Oreochromis niloticus: one gene and its partner. The protein of the gene in region 1 purifies or fractionates together with the protein of each later gene. This does not show direct contact. Links are inferred from orthologs where the notes say so. Each region holds a gene or a part of one and is shown on either strand. Other genes may lie near its edges.

Region 1 (11,132 bases):
GCTGAGGCTCATTTTTTGGCAATCTCTTTGCTGGAAGAAATCAAAAACAAAAAAACAAACATATAATAAAACAATTTTCAGGAAAGAGAAGCTACAAATGATTAAAAAAAAAAAAAATACATTAACAAAAAAAAACAAAAAAACATCAATCATACTAGTTTGACCTTGTCCTCCAGTTAATTTTTAACTCGTATTTAAAGCAGGAACTGAAACCCTTTAGGAATTTGTGATTGTCCAAGCCTAACAGCGGCGTCGTAAACCTTGTGTGTTTTTCAGTAGAAGAAAACTGGAGCTACAGTAGAAAGCTCAGGCAAGCAGAAAACATGCAAATTCCACACAGAAGGAGCCCTAAACTGGGCTTGAAGCCATGACCTTCTTGCTATGAGGCAACAGTTCTAACTCTGAATAACAGAAATGTGCAGAAAAACAAATATCTACAAATTGAATCCTAAAAGTTACCCACCAATGGCCATAAATATCTCATTCACATTCATAGACGTTTTGGCCGATGTCTCCATGAAAAGTAAGCTGTTGTCATCTGCGTAGGACTGGGCGTCCTGTTGACACAATGTAAACAATTTTCAAAACATTCTCCAACACACATTTCTTCAGGCATAGGAGAAACACAATTAGAGGATAATTAAAAATGGAAGTCGTGGCTCTAGAATGCAGCGTCCGCTTCGAATGTGATCATTCAGCCATCCACCTATTTTCCTCCCCTCATCCAACTCCACTTTGCGGTAGGGCTGGAGACGGGTCGCCAGCCTGTCGCAGGGCTAACAGAGAGGTACAGACAGCCATTCACACTCATATTCACACCCATGAGCGATTTAGAATCACCAATTAAATAACTGTACTAACTACATGTGCTTGGACTGTGGGAGGAGGCTGGAGTACCCGGAGATAAACCACGCAGACACAGGAAGAACATACAAACTCCACACAGAAAGGTCACAGAGATATTAGATTAAAAATAAATTAATTAATAAATAAAAATTGTAAAATAATCAAAGCCTAAGACACAGTCTAAGGTTTGTCTAGACTGACCTGGAAGTCCACAGCTCTTTTGTTGGCCAGATCAGCTTTGTTTCCTGACAGAGCGATGACTATATTAGGGCTAGCTTGTCGTTGTAGCTCCTTCACCCAGTTCTTGGCCCGTGCAAAGGACTCCTGAAAAACAAATGAAGACACGGTACCACTTGTCAACATCTAATGCTACTTTCATGTTTTAACTTGCTCTACAAGTGCTCTGGAAGGCCTGGGTCTTAGTCAAGGATGAACGTGCCTCGTTTGTGATGTCGTAGACCACAATGGCAGCTTGTGCTCCTCTGTAATACATTGGTGCCAAACTGTGGTAACGCTCCTGGCCTGCAGTGTCCCAGATTTCAAATTTCACTGTTGTGTCATCAAGACACACTGTTTGGGTTAGGAAAGCCGCTGTGGAGACAGGAAGAGATGAGTCATTTTATGCGTGATCATTAACGACACCAAAACTATATCTTTACGAGGTCATATAAACAACAGAGCTGTGAATGTGTCAACACAAAAGCATCAGTCTTCTAAATTCTGAATGGGGACTTCTCAGGAAAACAAACAAACAAAACAAAAAAAACAGAACTGTCAGGTTGTCAGAAACATCCTGATTTGATGACATGACCTTACCTCCTATTGTGCTTTCCTGGAATTCATGGAACTGGCCCTTGACGAAGCGAAGCACTAAGCTGGACTTCCCCACAGCCGATTCCCCCAACAGCACCAGCTTAAACTGACAGATCTTATTCCCTGCATTTGGTCCATTGGGTCTCGTAGCTCCTCCTCGATTGGCCATGACCTAGTCAGATCCCAGGTATCCTGTGTGCTGAACCTCACTGTCGGGACTTCTGCTGCAGGAAGCACGAAAACAAACATGTTCACAGAGTAAAAAAAGATATTAAACTCTAAGAGATTTGTAATTTCAAACAAATGTAACAAAACCTCTGCTAATATGCTTTTCCCTTCCAATGCAGTTTAACAAGTCATAACAAGAATGGAACAGTTACTTTTGTATAGATGACAGTCGGACATTTAAGACAAATGAGCATTACTCATATATTGAAATCATGCAACAAATGTATAATTATAAGATCAGCTTCCTCTGAAAATCATTATTAAAATTACAACTCTTATGAAAACTAGAATCAGACTAATGAATAGGCTACTAGAAAAAAGTAACTAAATTTGGTAATCTTTTGACATTTTGACTGGGATATAAAGGCCAATGAAAGTTCATCAGAGCAGACTACATAGAAAAAACTGATAGATCTCTCACTCATACTTTCATACATCAAAGTCAAGCATTCACCCACTGGTATCACTTCAATTTGTTATGAATTAAGAAGGATTTCCCACACAGAGTGTTTCAAAGAAACAGGTGGTTTTCACACTGCAGTTTAGGCAACATGAAGATATTTATGTGATCAATAAATTCAAATATATTCCAATATAATTCATACACAGTGCATAGAAAATGATAGCCTGTATCAATTAGCTATCTTTTTTATCTGCAAATTATGGCTGTAAATGTAATTTTATAAGGCTAATAAATGAATTATTCTGTGAACATTTCAAGTCAGTAAAAATAACTTGCAAGCATTTCAAACATACAAAGGCCTGTTCTGAATGCATGTGCGACTTTCGACAGGCCAAATTTAGGACACTTCTTCATGAATGTAACTTACAGTAACACCAGGAAAAGGAAGCCTTGTCATGAACTACAACAGTGATTCGTGGCAAACTCAAAAGAGAGCCGGGGAAAGACCCACCCAGATTACTCAAGTGTGGTACAACTGCGAGAACCATTGCATGCATGCATGCATACCATGTGTGCATGCAGTGCTTACTAACTTATTTGGGAATGAACAGCTCAGAATTTCTAAAAAAACACAGACGGCTGTTGTAAGGACATAATCACGGCTTATGTCTGACCTTACAGGGTGAATTTAGTGGAATCTTGTGCCTGACCAAAAACTGGCCTTTCGCCTCGCATCAAACTCACATATATGGTGCAGTGCAATAAAGCACAAAGCAACCTTTGTTAACCACACAAGTCACACTCTGTTGAGGAGAGGCATTAATCTGTGGTGGCTGTAGGCTCAATGGCAGTTTATGAAGATGTTGTACTGAATTATATTATACTGTAAGGTAGCTGTACATAATAGCATACGACACATTTCAGTGGCTGTGGCTTGAAAGGTTGTGGGATAGATTCCCCGGATACTCCAGTATTCATGCTGAAGTATCCTTGGGGAAAGCACTGAACCCTGAGTTGCCTGCAATGCCTCCATTGTGAATTAGAGTGTGTGCAAATGATAGAAAAGGTGCTTAGGTAAAGAAAAAAAGCACTTGTATGCATTTATGTGTGATTGGATGAACGAGTAGTAGTAGCTGAGACTGCTCCAAGTAGAAAAGTGCTACTTAATTATATAAGTTAAGAGTTAACACGTGCTTATAATGTTCTTATAAACTGCAAGATAACTGAGAGGATAAAGCTATAAATGTACTCTGAACAAAATTGCAAAAACAGGCAAGTCAGTCTATAAAGTAACCATATTTTTGCCTCCAAATCCCTGACATCATCATCCTAACTTCTTCTTTCAGTGTCCCCTTCTTGCCTAAAAACTACAGTCAGCTAGGACTTTGCGGTTATTGCCCCTAGGCTCATGGGGACTGGTTCAACAACTGATCATTTTAGATGAGCTCTAATGACATATCTGTTTTAGCTGCTTTTAGTCTAGCCTCAGGTCCCCCAGGGTTTGGTCAAACACACTGTAAATGTTTTCTACTACTGTTTTACTTGACTGTTTAGCATTGGTAGAACATAGTTGTTTTCTGATTTCTTTTCTTAAATATTATATTTTATTATGTTCCCTGTTTATGCAAGCTCCATGTTTGTAATTGTTCTTGAGACTTGGATTACAAAATGAGTGTGCCTGTACAGCACTTGTGGACAACTCCAGTCATTTCAAAATGAGCTCTATAAATAACATTTACTTTTTTTTTCACACACATTATGAACCTGTGCGTCACTAACCCACATCTGTGGCAAACCGTTCTTACTTGTGTCGCAACACTAAAGTCTGAAGGCATTCATATAAGGTAAAGATTTCCTTTACCTTAGCCACCAGATTTCTGGGTGTATTTCAAATAAAGAGCTTTGGGGAAACGAGTCAATAAATTGACCGGCGAGGTCATGCCAAAACATTTCAACCTTATCTCAATCGACTCATCCTTGAGACGAAGTCTTGAAGACGCGCAGCAAGAAAACAAACATGCTCCAGGAACTGGAATGAGAACAGTGACCGTATTTACCCACACTCATGACACGGACTGTCAGCAAACGCTGCGCATTGCATGACTGCGACGCGCATATTTGGCTTTAACCCTCGTTAGTTGACTATGAACACACTTGCTCGGTGTTAGCAGTGGCTATCGGTCTGTTTTGATGTTAGAGGGGGCCGCCATTTTCCCCAAAGTGTTTTTGTTCTCTAGCTTGTTAGCAAAGCTTAGCATTCCTAGCTGTCTGGTGTCATTAGTCTCCGAACTGCTGTAAGGACATAAAAACAACACGACAGCTATCTGCACAAAACTAACGCCATAGTTTTTTTTTTCTTTCGAATTGAAACCCTGATTGCCTGTGCCGTTTAGCTAATGTTGATTCAAGGGGAATAGCTGAGCCCCTCAATTAACAAACACTAACGTTAGCTTGCTGTCACTGTTAGCATTAGACCCACTGAACCCAGTCCACCTATTAGCAAAGTCACTGTAAGCCTGCCATGCTACCTGCTATACCAGACATTATTAGCCATTTGCTACTGGTATACAAGAGAACAAGCGGACTCGACAGGACAAAGGCCCGCATTTCTGCATCCCCTGTGCCACCAAACACCATCGACATCAGCTGCACTTAGCTAGCGACACAGCTAACTAACGAAGTCACCGATGACAACTAAACAAACGGCGGCGTCATGTCACCGAGCCAGCTGCAAACCACAACTCGTCGATTCGTGACAAGTACTTTACCTGAGAGCCAGGCGATGTACAACTTTAAATAGCACCGCTGCAGTTCGCACACAGAACCTGGGACAGTGTGATGAGCTGGTGTCAGGGGAGGGGGGACCGAGAAAATAATTTCAACAATCCTGTCACGTCTCCTCCTTTCTTTCTTCTCGCAACTTCCCCTTAGAACCAAAACACAAACAAGCTCTTCCGCTCCCCGTGCCACGTCACACGACACGCCCGCTAACAGGCAGATGGTGTATATAAAGTTTGACTATGATCTGCCCTCCAGGATCAGATCTCGGTATCTGTTTTTAATGAGATACAAATAAAATCAGACATTAATAATAATAAAAATTACAAATAATATTTTCATGTGTATTTGATCAAATTACCCAGTAATTTAACAAAAGGGAATCAGGCACAGCTGATATTTAGATAGACTCGGTACAATATAGATACCTTTTTCTATAGGAATCTTGGGTTAAAGGTGACCTTGTCACGAGGACAAAGGCATTTTAATAGTCACATAGATTGTTGTTCCTTTAATTTGAAATTAATATTTACAGACAAGTATTGTTATACCCTTTTGAAAAGAAGCATGTAATCTATTTTAAACCCACTGGATCTTCTTGGCGTTTCTTCTTCTTTCATCTGCTCCCTTCAGTAGATCATCTGCCTCCATCTCACCCTACTTCTAGCATCCTCATCTGTCACAAAAGCCCTCTGTATTCACTCCTTCACTGCATCCACAAATCTCCTCTGAGGTCTTCCTCTTCTCCTCCCTCCCGGTAGGTCCACCTTCAACATCCTTTGTTCAGTATAACCACTAACCCTCATATTCAAAGTTTTTGTTTTCTTTCTCATGTATCACAGGGTTATCGTTATTCCCCAAGTTGCAAACCAGTGATAAAGATCTAAAAACAAGATACGAAGAAAGAGGAAACACTTTTTCCTGTCCACTCTTAGATAAAGATGAGATTAAATGAACGAGACGTGTCGAGAAAATATATTTATATAAAATATATTTAATAAAAATGTATTAAAATAAAAAACCTAGTGCCGAGATAGCCTGGAACTGTAGTACACAACATACCGAGAGGTGGCGGTATAGAGAAAATCTCGGAGTTTATCTTTGGCGTAGAAGAAGAAGCCCCACCCTCTCTTCCGGATAAGGCCATATCAGCACGTTTTATTTATTGTTCACTGTATTTGTGTGCTTTTATCTTGTGCTAACGATGAGCTACATTTTATAACAAGTCATTAATAACACATATGGTAGTCAGGTTCATGTACCTCTTAAGCACTGTCGGTGGTTGAGCTTAACAGCAGCATCCAGTCATGGAGGAGGTGGAGACACCAGAGGAGCTCCTGGCAAAGCAGCACCGCAAAGAGAAGAAGGATCTGCAGGGTAGCTACTTTTAACTGTGCTCTTTTGTTTGGTGGGCTAACATTTCAGCCCTTGCTGGTAGCTAGTTAGCGTACCCTATGTTGTTTATGTGTCGGAGTGTTTAGTCTCACTTTATCCGCTATTAAGTGACCAGCAAGTAAATAAATAATGGTCACCGCAGACGTTTCTGTGGTTACTATTGTGAGGCAACTGCCAGCCTTATCGCGTAGTTTGTTTTGCTTTTAGAGTAATAAACCTATAATACACAGATCACTGTTGGGAGAAACTTTTAGGGATTTGATGACTTTAGCCCAGGGGTTGTCCAACATAAGGCACGAGGGCCAGATTCGGTCTGACAAAGACACCAATCCGGACCCACTGGACGGCTTTGGAAAATGTGAACTGTATTTTAATAAGCTTTATAGTTTTTCCGAATGAAAAAGATCTTCACCATGGCATTTCATACTACACCCGAGTAATTAGGTAATAGATAAGTAATTAAACAACATAAAAGAAATAAAAAGAGAATTTTGTCAATTAACAAAGCTTTCTGTTTTATAATTACAGTACAGTCTTGCAAGTCAGCCACCAGAAATGCTTCTGTAATTTTACACCTTTGTTTCTTAGGGTTTAAACCCAAAGAGTCATTCTGACAGATTTCTTTCATTTGCTACTGCAGTATTTCTTGTAGAAAAACTGAGATATTTTTTGAAATCGCACTTCTTTATCTTATTTTTAGATATCTCAAGGATTAAATTTGTGGTTTAACTGCTTTACTGTGCTTTACACTGGCTGAAAGAAGGTGTTTCACTGGTCTGGCTCACTTACTATGAAAGTTGGCTTTATGTAGCTCATGATGTAAAATGAGTAGCTGCTTTAGCTGACCACTGATATCAAAACATTTCTTTCACATGCCACATGTGGCAAAATAATTAATAATGTCTGATAATGTAAAATCAGTTGTTTGTGCAGTTTGTGTAGACAGGTGCAGAAATATTTTAATCTTTTTTTTAGGTGCATTAGTGCTATCTATGACATGTATCCTTCACTATGTTGGCGGTTTTGTGCATGTATAACTTTTCTAACCAGTATGCAGCATCATCTGTATTGTTGTGTTGTTCTGTTTTGTTTGATGGTCTGCTTTGCATCATTTTCAGCTAAAATCCAGGGCATGAAAAATGCAGTCCCCAAAAATGACAAGAAAAGGAGGAAACAGCTGACAGAGGAGATCTCCAAACTTGAGGCTGACCTCAATCAGAAACACGAGGAGGAATTCAGGCAGCTCAAAGCAACAACTGACACAAAGGTGACTTATTATGTTTAGATGGTCGACAAATCGGGTAGAGTTTGATTAGTAATTAATGTAGAAGCTCTCTTTCATAATGGGGTAACAACTGTGAGACGGAAAGGGAAAGAACAGTTGTTAAAAGGTTTTTGTATGTGTTCAGTATACATTCAGTATGTAAATGAGTCTAGTCTTTGTGCTGTATCAGCTGCAGTTTACAACATAACCATTTCTCTCTTTACTCAATATTAGAAGGTGGAAGAGGTCATAAATGGAGTGGAGAATGTAAAGGTGGAAGATGGAGAACAAGAGGAGGCGAAACAGCCGCGAGTAACCAAAGCCCAGAAGAGAAGGGTGAGGTGCAGTTTTAAAGACTTGTGTGTTGTGAAACTTTTATGCATTTACATTTAAGGTTCTCATGAAGAAGAACACTTAGAACTCATAGTCAGTCTTCCTTGTTTACCACAGTTCACATTCATGATGTCTCCGCTTTAGAGAGGTCTCTGATGATCAGTTCTGCCTGCTAGATATAAGTTGGAGTCTAATAAATCACCCGCATTTACCTGCTTTTGACTTTTAAATGATTTTGTATAGGACAAAAAGGCTGCACAGGAGAAGGAGAGGGAGATCAGGATAGCAGAGGCTGAGGTGCAGAACCTGCAGGGTGTGAGGCACCAGGAGGGTTTAAAGCTGGCCCAAAAACTCGCCCAGCAAAAGCTTCAGATCAAGGAGATCTCCTCTGATGGCCACTGCATGTACCGTGCCATTGAAGATCAGCTGACACGGCGATCAAAGGTACATGTTGTTATAGAGGCATCTTCCACAGCATGACTTTTGTCCTGTCTTCCTTCTCTCACCCAACTGGTCATGGCAGATGGCCGCCCTTCCTGAGCCCTGACCCTCAAAAGCCTGGAGGTTTCTTCCTGTTAAAATTGAGTTTTTCCTTCCCACTGTCGCCAAAGTGCTTGCTCATAGGGAGTCATATGATTGTTGGGTTCTTCTCTGTATGTATTATTGTAGGGTCCACCTTATAATATCAATTGCCTTAAGGCGACCGTTGTTGTGATTTGGTCCTGTATAAATAAAATTTAATTGAATTGACTAATAACTGTAGCTGTAGTTTAAATACTGAATCAGGAATTACATAAGAAATCGAGCATTGCTGACAATCTTTGACACCTTCTGTGTTTGGAGTCTCTACAGCTTGTCATACAGAAAATGACTCAATGAGAAACTGTCGAGTTTAGACGCACAGAACACATTTTCTAGTGCATTCTGTTCTGTTTTAGCTCCAATTACCCACAAGTGTGAAGGAACTTCGATCCCGCACTGCCGAGCACATGAGAGGCCATCCTGACGACTTCCTGCCTTTCCTCACCAACCCAAGCACAGGTGACATGTACACAACAGGTGAGACCATCTTTGTTTTTGGTAATGAAAGTCAAACTTCCACTGCTATATTTCTTAATATTCAATTGACATGTTTGTCTTTTGCTTCCAGACGAGTTTGAGAAATACTGCAGTGATGTGGAGCACACATCAGCTTGGGGTGGACAACTGGAAGTGAGTTCCTCCTTAACTGTCATATACTGTACTGTACATAGTGAAGTATTTTGTTGTAGTCTTCAATTCATTTTAATAATTTTTTTTTTTAATTTTTCAAATTTTGCAGCTTCGAGCTTTGACGCAAGTTCTTCATTTGCCGATCGAGGTGATCCAGGCGGACTCTCCTACCATAAAAATTGGGGAGGAATATGACGGTGAACCCATCACAGTTGTGTAAGAATGTTTCCAAATATGTTTTTTGCTCAGAGTACAACACTATCAGTAAAAATGTGCAAATTAATGTAGTTGTAGTAAACATTTTAAATTCACAATCACAAATTTACAAACACACTATTGACTACTGCCAGTCTAAATCCAATCTGTAACCTTTCCTCTGTCTCTTTGCTTGTAGCTATATGCGGCATGCTTATGGTCTAGGAGAGCACTACAATTCTGTGGAGCAGCTAAAGGACCCAGTCAACGCTGAGGACAGCTGAGAGAGAGTTAACATAAGCCTGTTGGCGTAATGCAGAGAGTGTTCAAACTTCTAACACGAAGCACCCTAAAATATGACATATTTGAAGGGAGACCCATGGTCAAGCGAGACATTGCTGAGCTCAACAGAGAATGCTTCTGTTTTCACATCAGTTAAATGTCTGTGTTGAAGTCAGATGAGGAGAGTGAAACCTAAATGAATACATAACTTTTAAAACAATAACGTTGTGTTAATGATGATAATAATAAAAAAACACAATTGAACAGAAGTTGATGTGTGAAAAGATTTTACATGGGTCACCCCTGGCTAATCGTAATGATTATAGGGTTACCTTTTAGCTCATTTTTAGAGGCATCGCTGAATTGCATCTTTTTTTTAAGAAAAAAAATACAATTCCAGTCATGCAGTTGAGGATTCAGTAGCTGCTTATAGTGTGTAACTACCAACCAAATGTGGACAACGAGTGGTTGTTTTCAGTGTTGTTTGGCTGAAATGAGCTGTTAAACGTGTAAATCATACCAAGTTACATAAATGCATACAATACCATGAGTGTGTGTGTGTCACAGCTTTATTTTGAATGTTTCTAATGAGCATCTTTTTATATCTTATAGGCACCAAAATGTATATACCATGCATTAAAAATGAAAAACCCTCACTGTCGTGGGTGTGTCATGGTAAAACTGGCCATTATAATCAATCCACTCACATTTAACACTAGAATTACTGAGCTTTTTTTTTCCTGGTGCAAGTCCCTACTACTAGATTTACTAGCCCTGCGCAAATTTGCGTAAATTCCCCTGAACCTAACACCTCCTAGCACCCCGTTGAGAGGCCTTCAGCTCCATTGTTCTCCTGCTTTTGTTGTGCAAACATACCTTCCCCCAACCCCCAACCAGGAGAGATTCAGGAGACAGGAGAGAACAAGGAGAAGGTCTTTCCTTCCAATCGTTGTCAGACTCAACAACAAAGTACCTGCAGCCTACAATACACCATGCTAGTTTTTATGTGCAGTATTTCTCATATGCAATATTAGTTCTTGTCAATCCTTGTCACTACATTGCATGCCTGTCCATAAACATATATACACAGAGTTGTACATATATTTATATATCCACACCTTACATAATATACATAAAGTCTAGTTATACATACATATATACATATATATATATATATATATATATATACACACACCAATATTTTTCAATACACGTGTCCGTATTTATGTTTCCAGATTGTTTGTATAGTGCACTTTCAATACTGTACTCTGTGTACAGTTTGTATTTTTGCTGCTTTTGTCTTGCACTGTCCACTTTTCTGCAGTGACAATGCAGATTTTCCACTTGTGGGACTAATAAATGCAGATTTGCTGTGTGTGTGTG
Region 2 (11,744 bases), on another chromosome or scaffold:
CACCATCGTCATTGCTGTCACATGTTACCACAAGCGCAAGAACAAGAAGCTAAAGAGACAGCTGACTGAGAAGAAGTACGAGATAATGTGATGTTTAATTAAGATGCAAAAAGATGAGATGAATTAATAATATCCGCAGGCTGAGAAGAATACATAAAAATGGGGCAAATCACAGCTATTAAGAATATTCCCGCTGACAGTTACAACAGCGGAGCGTGTAAAATTAGAGAAGCATAAAGTGTAAAATGCAGTGGCTAAATGACTCTGCGTGGGGGACATGTAAATTAACAGCAGGCACAAATATGCATGAAAACTAAATTTAAAATATGAAGCTTTAGCAATAACTTGAGCTGCCAGAGAATAACACACGTGGCATTATAAGCCTCAGTGCCATTTAGAAATTAATTTTTCTGTCTTTTTTTCCTCACAGGGAGGAAATAAGCACTCTCTCCAGACAAGCCTCTATCAGGAGAATGAACTCCTCGAGTACAGACAGGAGAGCGGTACGTTTGCATGATTATTCTCTCACACACTGCTCAGCACTGATCCAAATCAGTGGACCACGTGTGTCACACAAACCTTTTTCCAACGTTCAGATTTCACTATCAATAACTCCAAACACTTCAATATAACTACCGGTGTCTGTTAGTCGCAACAGCCAAATATTCATATCTTCTATCAATAATACCATCAGTTTTAAAATAATGAAAGCATAGTATGGTAAGGTTTGAATGTACAGATTTTTTTCATGATTTGGAATTTTGTTGTGTTTCTTTTGATTGCAGACAGAGGAAAACATCCCTCTGAGGGTGGAGGGAACACTGAGGAACAGCCTGTCTTCCCTTGGGGTCAGTCTGCGTATCTATATAAATCTGCATGCAGGGCCAGGGCCTGGGACTGAGGCTTTACTAGCCAGATGCCAGATGGCTAAGTTCTGAGTTTCAACATTTCGAATCTGCATGTAGTGCATCACAGCTTTTTTTTTCTTCTCTTTTAACATCTCTGTTCCTCTCTATGGGCCCTAAAGTTCATGCTGAGAATTAGGCCAGAAGACTGACACCACTCTCACATGTGTTAAATATAGAGCTGGAGCCAGATACATGTTAGCTTAGTGAAGCGTAAACACTGCGAGCAAGTTGCAAACAGCAATGCTTGGTCTGTTTTAAAGTATAACCAACTACAACTGCAAGCCAGCGACTCTAACTGGTGAAACATAATGTAGCACAGTGCAATTTGGAAGGTTAGAAACTTTGTTACTGTGGACAGATGAATTCCCTCCCTTAGATAAGGTATAAAGCAAACAAAATTGAGGGGAGAAGAATGCAGACTTTCACCCAAGAAATTTGGGTTCATGTCTTTATACTTGTCCCCTGGACTCTGTTGGTTTTCTAGGCTGATAATAAGACCATGATTTGGCCTTTACAACCGTATCAGAAGGGCAAAAATAGTGGCTGATTCTTTTAAAGAGAGTTAAAATGACAATGTTTAGCTCAGACATGTGTCACTATGTAATGTGGTGTTAAGAGTCAGTAGTTACCTTTCACATTTTAGTGAGATCAGACTGGTTTAATAATGCTCTGTTTCCTGAGCTAAATTACTGCTGGTTGTAGCTCCTGTAATTAGCATGAAGACATGGGAGTGGCACGCTGCTATGTTTCAGGAAGAATACGCTGTAGCATATTTCCCAAAACAACAAAAAAAACCCATTTAATTTCATCTTTAGTGTCATCAAATGCAGCTTACTGAGAAAAGTAACATTTTGCATGTGGCTATTCCCAATTTTTTGTCTTTTACAGCCACATCTTAGTCATTTTCAATACACTGAAAAAACATTTAGGCCCAAAAAGCTACTTTGTAAAGCTTTTATTGCCTAATTGTATGTCAGGCCTGATTCAATCAGGACCTGGAGTGAAGTTTGGGGCCCAAAATTAAATCTCTTATTTTATCTAATATATTATCCAATACTTTCCTTCGAATTTCTTGAAAACTGTGACTAATTAAATGCAAATAAATAACAGACTATTTTTCATTAAAAGTTAATTTATTTTTCCCCAGTTAATGCTAAACTATTGTTTTAAAACTACTTTTTAAAATATACATGTAAGTAAATAATGTAACTATAATGCTTTAAATAATGTGTTTTTTACGTGAATTTGGGGAGAATGTTTGTAGCAATTCTGTTGTTTTGAGCATAGAATTGTTACAATCTATGCACTTCATCAGTGTGTCTAGTAATAGTTACTAGTGTTTCGTTTCCATGCCATAAACAGGAGCAGCCTCAGTGCCGTGATAGCCGATCTACTATCTCAGGCAGTCGGGGAGGAGGAATTGCGTATGACTCTCTGGGCAGACCAGCCATATACAACAACTCCCGGAGGGGGAGAGAAAGGCCTCTGGACAGAGACGAGGAAAGCCGACTCAGAGTGGAGAGATATGTGAAAAACAGCTCTTTATCTTTGGTAAGTGTGTCTTAGTGTGCGTGTCAAGGCTTGAGTTCGCCAAACTGTGGAATGCCTCGGCTCCATATTACTAACCACTGCATAGTTAACCTGATGATGATGCAATCAAAATCTGTGTCTGCTCTGTGTCCTTGTAGCCAGAAACTCACTACCACCCTCCTCTCACGCAATTGCCTCAGAGGATGCAAACGCCCGACTTTCTGAGGTCGATGAACGGCAGCCCCATTGTCCCACCGGATGTGGGGTTGCGACTGGGAAGCATCACCAAGAATCACCAACACCCTCCCGTGAGCAGCACCTGCCCACCCATAAGGGACGACGATGATGAAGTGGATGAAGGGCTGGGCGGTCCTGCCAGTCAGGAGCAACCTTTTGATCAAGACAGCGAGACGAACAGCTCTCAGGTGTCTGAGGGTCACAGTCTGCCCTGCCAGCTTAGTAATGGCCTGTTAAAATACAAAAGGATCCCAAGCCCCCATCCGGTCAATCCCCACACCTCTATAATCCACAAGGCCCAAATAGTTTAACAGCTGGTGAGAAAATAACACGTGAAATTACAGAACTGCACCGCTTTTGTGGATGCGGTTGACTCCAAAGCATCTTTAGGGCATTTCTTATTGCTGCCTGCTGTTTGGGGGATCAGTGGCGTATTCCCCAGATGTTTGCAGAGCTACTGGAAACTAAAGACAATATCACACATTTTCCAGTGCAGCTACTTCAGCATCATCACCGACGATATTCCTTTCTGAGCTTTCACAATACAGCTGTTGCTCTAACCAGCTGCAGCTGACAGGTGAATCCAGCTGCCAGAGCTTATGAGGGGATATTGAAAGCACTTGCTGTGGGAAAAACCAGGAAATACAGGAGGAGTAAACAAGGCTGTGGGAAAGTCGGCAAATCTAAAAAGGAGATTGCAACAGCTCGGTGTTGAGGGTGGACTTCTGATTTGGTTGTGGTGAGTGTAAGAGTAACTGCCTGTGTCACATTCTCTTACACAACATTGGTTGGGACCTGATCCAGATTTTTTTGGCTTGTTCATCTCTGGCCACACCTTCAACCCGCATACCTTCATATTGTCTTACTGTCCTGCCGCCGTAGGCACTGAGACAGTTTGGATCAGATGAAACCTTAATGCCAAAACAAGATTAATGTCCCTTACATGTAGTGATCTGTAAATCTGTACAAATACACGAGTGAGCTCCCTTTTCTTAAAAAAAAACAAAGAACAAAAAAACCAAACAAAAAAACCCCACAAACACCTTTGAAATAGAGCTGTAATACTTAAATCTGAAGTAACAAAGACACAGCATGGTAACAACAACAAATAAAATGTGCTGTCAGGTCATACATCCCTCTGCCTCAGTGGCCTCCTCACTCAGATTCTTCCACATACACGTAGTACATGTGTGCTACAAGCATATTGATGTACACATATATAAGACTAGAGATGACAAAGCATATATGAAACATGCACACTTAATACATTAGAGTGCATTTATGTTTGATCTGTCGATGTTTACACACACAGTATGAATGTCAACATCAATGGAATCTGGAAAAGCTGCCAAACATTTGGAAAACATAGTTAGAATTGATCAGATTCTGTAAGTATGCCTGGATTCTCACGAAGCAGATCGTAGAAATGAATAAAAAAGGTCGCCACACATGGAATTTCTGTACAGTTTGGAACGTTTCCTCCAAAAGAGGACCGTGTCTTTCCAAAAGGAGTTTAACAGGGACATGTTACAGCCTTTGATTGCAGCATAAAAGCCAAACATGTATTTTTTATCTGTGTACTTTTTTTTTTTAATATCTGTTATGAGTATTGGGAAAAATGTGCCAAAGGGGAAACATGAAAAAAAATAACAGGTTTGCTATTCTGGCAAATATGAAGTATTATATTGTTTGTTACATACATTGTATTGTACAATTGTATTGTTTCCTTTTTGTTATGTTATCTGCTGTAAATACGACTTTTTTCCGATACACTTGTCTGATGTTGCTTTAGTTGTGTAAAAAGTGTGCTGGGACAGTTTGTGGCAAACTCAAAGTGATGTGTGACTATTATCCGGCAGCACCTAACAAATGAGAAGCCATAATGTCTGAATGCAGGTTGCATTTGCAGACAGCGCCCCCTGGTGTATACTGCTGGAAAGTGCAGGGGCCTGACTGAGGCAACAAACTGCAGAACTAACCAACTATGAAAAACTGCCTTCCATTGTGATCCAGATGATCTTCTTGGACATTTGCCTGGATTTCTAGTTATTTGCAGAGAGCTCTGGATGGTTATCAGCTAGTACTGATGGGTTGAAATAAATGTATGTGGTTTTTCTAAAGGTGCAGGTGTACAGCACTTTAGTTACCCCTGTACATTCATTTTTTAAACTATTTTTTATATTGTAGAAAAAACCGAATGCACTGAAACTATTACATTTTGTAGTCTTCTTCTTCTTTCAGCTGCTCCAGTCTGTCTCTACCAACCATCTGCATGTCCTCCTTTACTTCATCCATAATCCTCCTCTTTGGTCTTGCTCCCAAAGAACATCTTTGCAACCTCCACCTTCTGACTTCATCTCCAAACCATACATCACAGCAGGTCTCACTACCATCTTGTAGACCTTCACTTTTTTTTTTCTGCCTATGTGCACTGTCTGATGCTGTTGGTTTATCACAGGTATTTAAACCCATCTGCCCTCATAGCTGAAATCACAAATGTATAACGCCAATTCTTGCCTCTTCAGTCTCAGTGCTCTCACTCAGTAGTGGTTTCTTTGCAGTGTTTAAAGAATAAAAGCCTCGTCTGTAACAGCTGATGTTAGGACATGTCTTTCACTTGACTTGTGGTAAACACTAAAGTGGCATCCAATCCGAGGTACTGTTAATTGCAGAGTTAGGAGGCTAATTAACCTTTTCACTGCAGCTCCTGGAACTTTTGGTCTCCTTTTCCAGAGGCCTTCCTTGTAATAGGAGCTTCATCATCACATCAAATGGGTTTTGTCACTTGAAGAAACCTTCATTGCTCCTCAGTGACGGCTGCGGTGCTCAAATTGTGGATGTTGGGATACCGACAGCCTTCGCACTACTGTACACTACATTCATCCACAGGTTATGTCATACTGTGAGAATTTCTTTTCAGTTTTTGCTCTTGTGTTGTAGTCATCATAGCAAACTAAACCTTAAAGAAACGTATTGGCCACTGAATAATTTGCTATACTTTTTAGTTCCTATCCAATGGTTTCTATCACTGTGCATCATCCATATATCCCATTGCTTCATCAGAGTTAATGTAGTCATCTTGGTTGCAACAGGATGAATATGTTTAAATGAATCAGCACCCCTTGAGTCATGCTAACTGTCAGAGTCCTCAAACCACAGGCACAGCAGGAGGAGTGGCAGCCTTCCCCAAGGCCGGTTCTGCCCTACTTTGTTCCTGTTTAAAGGATGTTTTTCCTCCCCACTGTCACAGAGTGCTTACTCATATGCGCTTGTTTGATTGTCAGGGTTTTCTTAAGAGTACTGCAGGGCAAGGGTGTCAAACATAAATTGGTCTGGTAAAGACTCCAGTTCGGACCACTGGACAGCTATGATAAATATAATGGAGGGCATAAATTTTGGACTTTAATTTTTTGATGCATCTTAATGTTTTCCCCTCCCTTATGGAAATTCATGCATCAAACTAATAGATAAACAATTAGATGACAGGACCCTTTCTGTTATTTTTTTAACTACTGATTCTGATACTATCAAAATTTCTCTTTTTTACATCCATAATAACAAAACAAAAACGATAAATAAATACATTAAAAAAACAGGATGTTTCCTGTGAATTAAGAAAAACTTTGTTTTGTAATAACAGGACAGTCTGGGGAATGAGTGACCAGATTTTTTAGAAATGTAATTTTACACATTTATTTCTTAAAATGTATGCCCAAAGAGAGATGTAAGAGATTTCTTACATTTATATGATATTTATATTTAGATATGTTGTTGAAATTGCTCTGCTTTTTCTAATACTAAGCTCAAATGTGCAGTTGAACACCTTTATACTGACAGGAAAGGGCCTTCATCCGGTCCAGCCAACTCAAAATCACAGTGGGCTGAATGTACAAAACTAATTGTTTGTTGGATTTTTACCTTCATCACAGTTATTGAAGAATAGCCACTAACTTGATAAATAAAAGCCAGCCAATTAGAACTAACTTAAGCAGGGATTTGCTTAATTAGTGCATAACTTTTACCATGTTTGCAATTAAACAAATTACCCCAAACCAGTGACTGTGCAGTTCTGTGAGGGTCCATGGTTTTGTGGAAGGACTGCACACTTCACCTGCCTCATAATCCTGTTTGACCCTCAGAAAAGCAACCTGTTATAATGCTGAGGAGGGCTTTTTATATCCCAGCAACAACACGAACCCTTTGACAACACTACCAAATATTTATTTCTTTATCAATTAATCTTAGTTAAAGTTATGATATAATAAAGAAATAAATGTATATTAAATATGACATAATACTGTAATTATGTAAATAAATGCATTATTTTCTGGTAAAACATCAGCCAATGGAATGTACTGGAAGCCTCGTATGACGCTTTAGCTTTGTTAACAAAGTCATTATTCATGCGAAAAGGTTGACCACAAACTAAATAAATGAATGAATGAATGAATGAATAAATAAATAAATAAATAAGTAAATAAAGTAAGTTTACCGGTGGTCTGCGCTCGGAAGTGTGCGACGAGTGATGTCATGCGGAGGGAGGAAACCGATCTCGACAGCTAAGATGGCGGAGGAGCAGCAAGAGTCATCACAGGGAGAGATGGAGGGTGAGAGAAACAGTTACACCAACAAATATCAAGCAAAGTGCGCTGCCATTTCTCTTCTAAACGAAACTCTTATCCACACGAACATCTGTAAAGCGTTTCAGCCGTTGCCTCCTCCGTGCTGAATCTGGCTGATGTGCAGCGGTGAGGGGCACACAGAGGCCAGAGCTTCTGGGCTAACGTTAGCTAGCTGCCAATGCTACACAAAGAAAAAAAAAGCTTGTTTAGTTAATGTCAAGGCAGCAGTGAGTGACAGTCCCAGAGGTTTTGACTTTTGGAAATGCTTAAAATGTGTACTTATTATTAAAGAAAAGGCGTCGTGTTTTTAGTTTATAAAACTGCGTCGTGGCTAGAATTTGTTTTGTTTTCGCACAAGTCGCGCTAGCCAAGTTTAGCTGACTGACGTTAGCTTGTAGGTTAACTTGTTTTGATGTTAAATGCTGACCAAGGGCTAAATGCGCTCTTGTTTGCTTATTGGTGTCAGCAGGTGATGAAAACGGAAGGGGGGAGTGTGTCTTTGTCAATTGATTTATTCCACATTTTATTACATTTTGTTTACATGCAGCTGTCTGGCATTAAAACGAATTCAGTGGTTTCGCCACTGAGAAGGAAAACACCGCGTTAAAAGGGCTTTGTGAAAAAGGACATTTAAACCAAAACGACATGCAGCACCTGGCGCCGTTACTTTTATTAAGAAACTGGCATCTTAACCTACAATGTATTACGGGTGATCGAGTTTATTTATTTATTTTTACAGCCAAGATAATGCAGTCGCATTTAATTGTGATTGTTAAATACAAGCTAGGCACTTTTTAATTTCCTAGTAAAACCAAGTAATATCGAGTTAGTTCAGTTTTAATTCCTGGCTTGTTTGGGTATTACATTGTCACACAGCATTGCAGGTGCAATGCAGGTACACTGCCAGTGTCACTAGGTCACACCTGCGTAAACGCACCAAATGTAAAAGTGAATGCAGTCAGAGATGGGCCAAATCAGCTTGTTCTGATTCCCATCCAATACAGCTTGGGTGTCTGCTAATACTGACTAGAGATAAGATACTGGTTTTAAATTAATAATCTATAACGCTGTGAGCAAGAGACTAGAAAGTATTCTTATATGTGTCAGGAAATACGAGACTTAACTTAAAACATTTTCCTAACTTTGAAAACTGAAAAGGAACAAATAAATATAATTCTATACAAATGTTGATATTTATTAGTGAAATAAAAGAAAACAGCCCTAGGATACACGTGGCAAAGTAAACACAGAGCAACACAGAAATGAATCGAATGGGCTGGCTCGTTATCACTGATAGCTGGTCCAGTTTTCACAGTTGGTATCGGATCGATATCCAATCCAAATATTGAATTGGTGCAACAGTTGTTTCCCTAGTAGCAAATGCTTGTATCCTAACTGTCTGAAACACTAAAAGCTGAAACTGTGTTTTAGCTTTCAGTTCATAATGTTTTTCTATTTTTTCATTTTTTTCAAACCACACATCTGTGCAGTAGATCACATTAGGATCGCACTCTACTAAAAAAGTTAACCTAAGCAGTTTTCCTCAGACTAGCATCCTTTAACGAAACATTAGCACCTCCATACAGTTTGGGAAGATGGAGTTCTGCTTTGATACTGCAGATGTTTGTAGTGCAGTTTTGGTCTCAGTTTCAGAACTGTTACAGTGCTGTTGTCAGTTTATAGTACCATAAATGCTACTATATTTATGGTAATGTAAATCTAAAGTACACACTTTGCATCACTGGAACACTGCGATTTCAAATAGTGCTTCTAATCTGATGTGCAGTTAAAATCCCAATGCCACAGCTTCACTATCCTCTGTTTCAGCCAGTATGTCATTTAAGTACTACTCTACTCCTGAAGCCTCTTGAATTTGTCACCCTTGTCTTACAGGAGTGAACTGCCTAGCATATGATGAGGCCATAATTGCTCAACAGGACCGGATTCAGCAGGAGGTAAGGAAGCTCTTTTTATCTTAAAGGTCAAGTTTAGTTTGGGCAGCAAAAAGAAATAAAGATAGCTTGGCGTTATTCTGGGGATCCGGATGAGCAACTTCAGAAATCTCAGATCACATGTGGACAGGGCTATAAAAGCATAATTTGCACACTGAAAACAAATGAGATGCATGTCTTTGAGAATCTATCTTTGCAGTAATTACATTGACCTTTACCTGTAACAGGGTTTATGTGCACAGCTGTGAGCTTATAATAAAAGAAATGTTACTAATGCATAATCACAGATGTACTGTGTAATAAAAAGTCTAAAAACAAGTATGGAGATGGATTGCAGTGACTAATTTGCAGTTTTGTGTGTGTGGTTGTGCAGATAGCCACCAGTAACCCTTTAGTGTCAGACAGACAGGACCTGTCGGTGCTGCAGAGCGAGTACGCTGAGGATGACACGGTTTATCAGCTCAAGATCAAGGTCAGTCAGAGCGCAGCACCTCTCAGGTTACTGCAGCCACGTGTCAATCCAAAGTTTCTCTGTTTAAATTTGCAATAACAGTTTTGGATCTGATCTTAAAGATTTTTTAAAATTATTGTTATTACAGGACCTGCACAAAAAATACTCGTACATTCGCAAGACGCGACCAGATGGAAACTGTTTCTACAGAGCCTTTGGCTTTGCACATCTCGAGTCCCTGCTAGATGACAGCAAAGAACTTCAGAAGTGAGTGCCAGAGTGGTTACTGTGTGTGCTCTGCTGGCTGTTGGTGTCTATACTCAATGTGTGAATGTGTGTGAGCAGTACACTGTGTTCTGTTTTCAATATTTTAAAATTCAGATAAGCACATAGGTGGCTTTAATATTTACAATGTTTACCTTTAAATACACATTTTGTCTCTTCAGGTTCAAAGCAGTTGCAGCTAAAAGTAAACTGGATCTGGTTAACGAAGGTTTCACTGAGTTTACTATTGAAGATTTTCACAATACTGTGAGTATTCTGGCAAACCTAAATGACTATTTTGCTGAAGTTGCTGTAATAGCAAATGCATGTCATCTAGTTAGATACATTTGTTTTATTTTCTGCTTTTTTGCATTGTTACTGTAAAAAAGCTTAAAAAAAGAGGTGTAAAACCCTCAACCTGACTGACAGCATATCATTTGTTATGTTGGATAAGGTGCAGATGACGATCCTTACTGACTAGCCAATTTTAGATGGTCATCTGCCAGAGCACATGATGTGTTCAGTGAAATGGAACATGCAGCCAAATTTGTTTTGGCCAGTTAAATAGAAAGTTGGCAAGCTGAAGCCCGAGTACATGAGTCTAAATATGTAAATATTGTTTTTCCTGCTAGTTCATGGACTTGATTGAACTGTGTGAGAAACAGCCGAGGCTGCAGGAGGTGCTGAGCTCCTTCAACGACCAGAACGTATCAGACTATGTGGTGGTGTACCTGCGGTTGCTCACCTCAGGCTACTTGCAGCGAGAGCATACCTTCTTTCAGCATTTCATAGAGGGTGGGCGCACTGTCAAGGAGTTCTGCCAGCAGGTGAAGGTTTTCCCTACATAGATAACCATTTTCCTGTTTTTAAATTTAAATATAATGTACATAACTGTTGAATTGTTATGACCGACGTTGTGTAAAGAGTACAGTGTTTGCCATTCTGGTATAATGAAGATGTTTTATTGTCTGAAACTCAAACCTAATGTGCTTTTTTTTTTCTTTCTCTTTTTCCAAGGAGGTAGAGCCAATGTCTAAAGAAAGTGACCACATTCACATCATCGCCTTAGCTCAGGCCTTGGACGTATCCATTCTGGTGGAGTACATGGATAGAGGAGAGGGAGGAACAGTCAATCACCACGTCTTTCCCGAAGGCGGAGACCCCCGCATCTTCCTCCTCTATAGACCTGGCCATTACGACATCTTGTACAAATAGCACTCCTGGCCACGGCCCATCTCATGCATCTCCTGCTGTGTGCCGCAGCAGCGCATTCAGAAAATGCTACCAGCAGCCATGCTGATGAAACATACATCTGTGTATAAGATTACACTTGTGTATTTGGAAAAAAGAAAAAAAGAAAAAGAGAGAGAAAATCACATTACTTGCCTCCTTTGCCCTTCTCGCCCCAAACCCCCAAATTTACCTTCAGTCATAACAAAATGATGAAATAAAAAAAAAAAAAATCTTTGGAAATATAGAAGTGACTCCAACCATTTAGAGTTGTACAGGGTTTTTTTTTCTTTTGTGGTTGTAAATGTTATCTACTTGCTTTGTTTGTTTCTTTTCCTTTGTTACACTGCGTTTCATTGAGTTTTATTAAAGCAATTTACATCTTATTTCTTGTGTCAGTATGATTTTTGTTTTTCAGTTAAATATTGAAAGTTGACAATAACGTTCTTAGTCATCACTGCACACTGATGGAACCTGATATAACTATACTTTAATTGAGAGCATTATTGCACTATTCCTGCAGGTCAAATTAGAGGGAGAGGGGAAAGAA

Evidence for each region.
Region 2: the proteins of otud6b (region 1) and ubiquitin thioesterase OTUB1 fractionate together in Homo sapiens (co-fractionation; 4 studies listed by BioGRID and IntAct, with this or other methods). This does not show direct contact. The link is inferred for Oreochromis niloticus from reciprocal best matches to the Homo sapiens genes OTUD6B and OTUB1.

The regions. Positions count from the first base shown.
Region 1 is NC_031985.2:21,835,990-21,847,121, reverse strand, and holds otud6b (deubiquitinase OTUD6B), read left to right. Parts: upstream 1-6,161; 5' UTR 6,162-6,375; coding exon 6,376-6,445; intron 6,446-7,581; coding exon 7,582-7,730; intron 7,731-7,961; coding exon 7,962-8,063; intron 8,064-8,303; coding exon 8,304-8,504; intron 8,505-8,998; coding exon 8,999-9,119; intron 9,120-9,210; coding exon 9,211-9,272; intron 9,273-9,381; coding exon 9,382-9,488; intron 9,489-9,666; coding exon 9,667-9,751; 3' UTR 9,752-10,299; downstream 10,300-11,132. Other genes in the region: ras-related protein Rab-5A, read right to left, coding at 1-30, 464-557, 1,048-1,170, 1,286-1,437, 1,663-1,828.
Region 2 is NC_031967.2:5,952,282-5,964,025, reverse strand, and holds ubiquitin thioesterase OTUB1, read left to right. Parts: upstream 1-7,053; 5' UTR 7,054-7,200; coding exon 7,201-7,282; intron 7,283-9,190; coding exon 9,191-9,252; intron 9,253-9,622; coding exon 9,623-9,721; intron 9,722-9,848; coding exon 9,849-9,967; intron 9,968-10,146; coding exon 10,147-10,231; intron 10,232-10,596; coding exon 10,597-10,791; intron 10,792-10,981; coding exon 10,982-11,179; 3' UTR 11,180-11,580; downstream 11,581-11,744. Other genes in the region: nectin4a (nectin-4), read left to right, coding at 1-75, 431-503, 786-848, 2,271-2,459, 2,597-2,986. UniProt on the Homo sapiens protein: Hydrolase that can specifically remove 'Lys-48'-linked conjugated ubiquitin from proteins and plays an important regulatory role at the level of protein turnover by preventing degradation.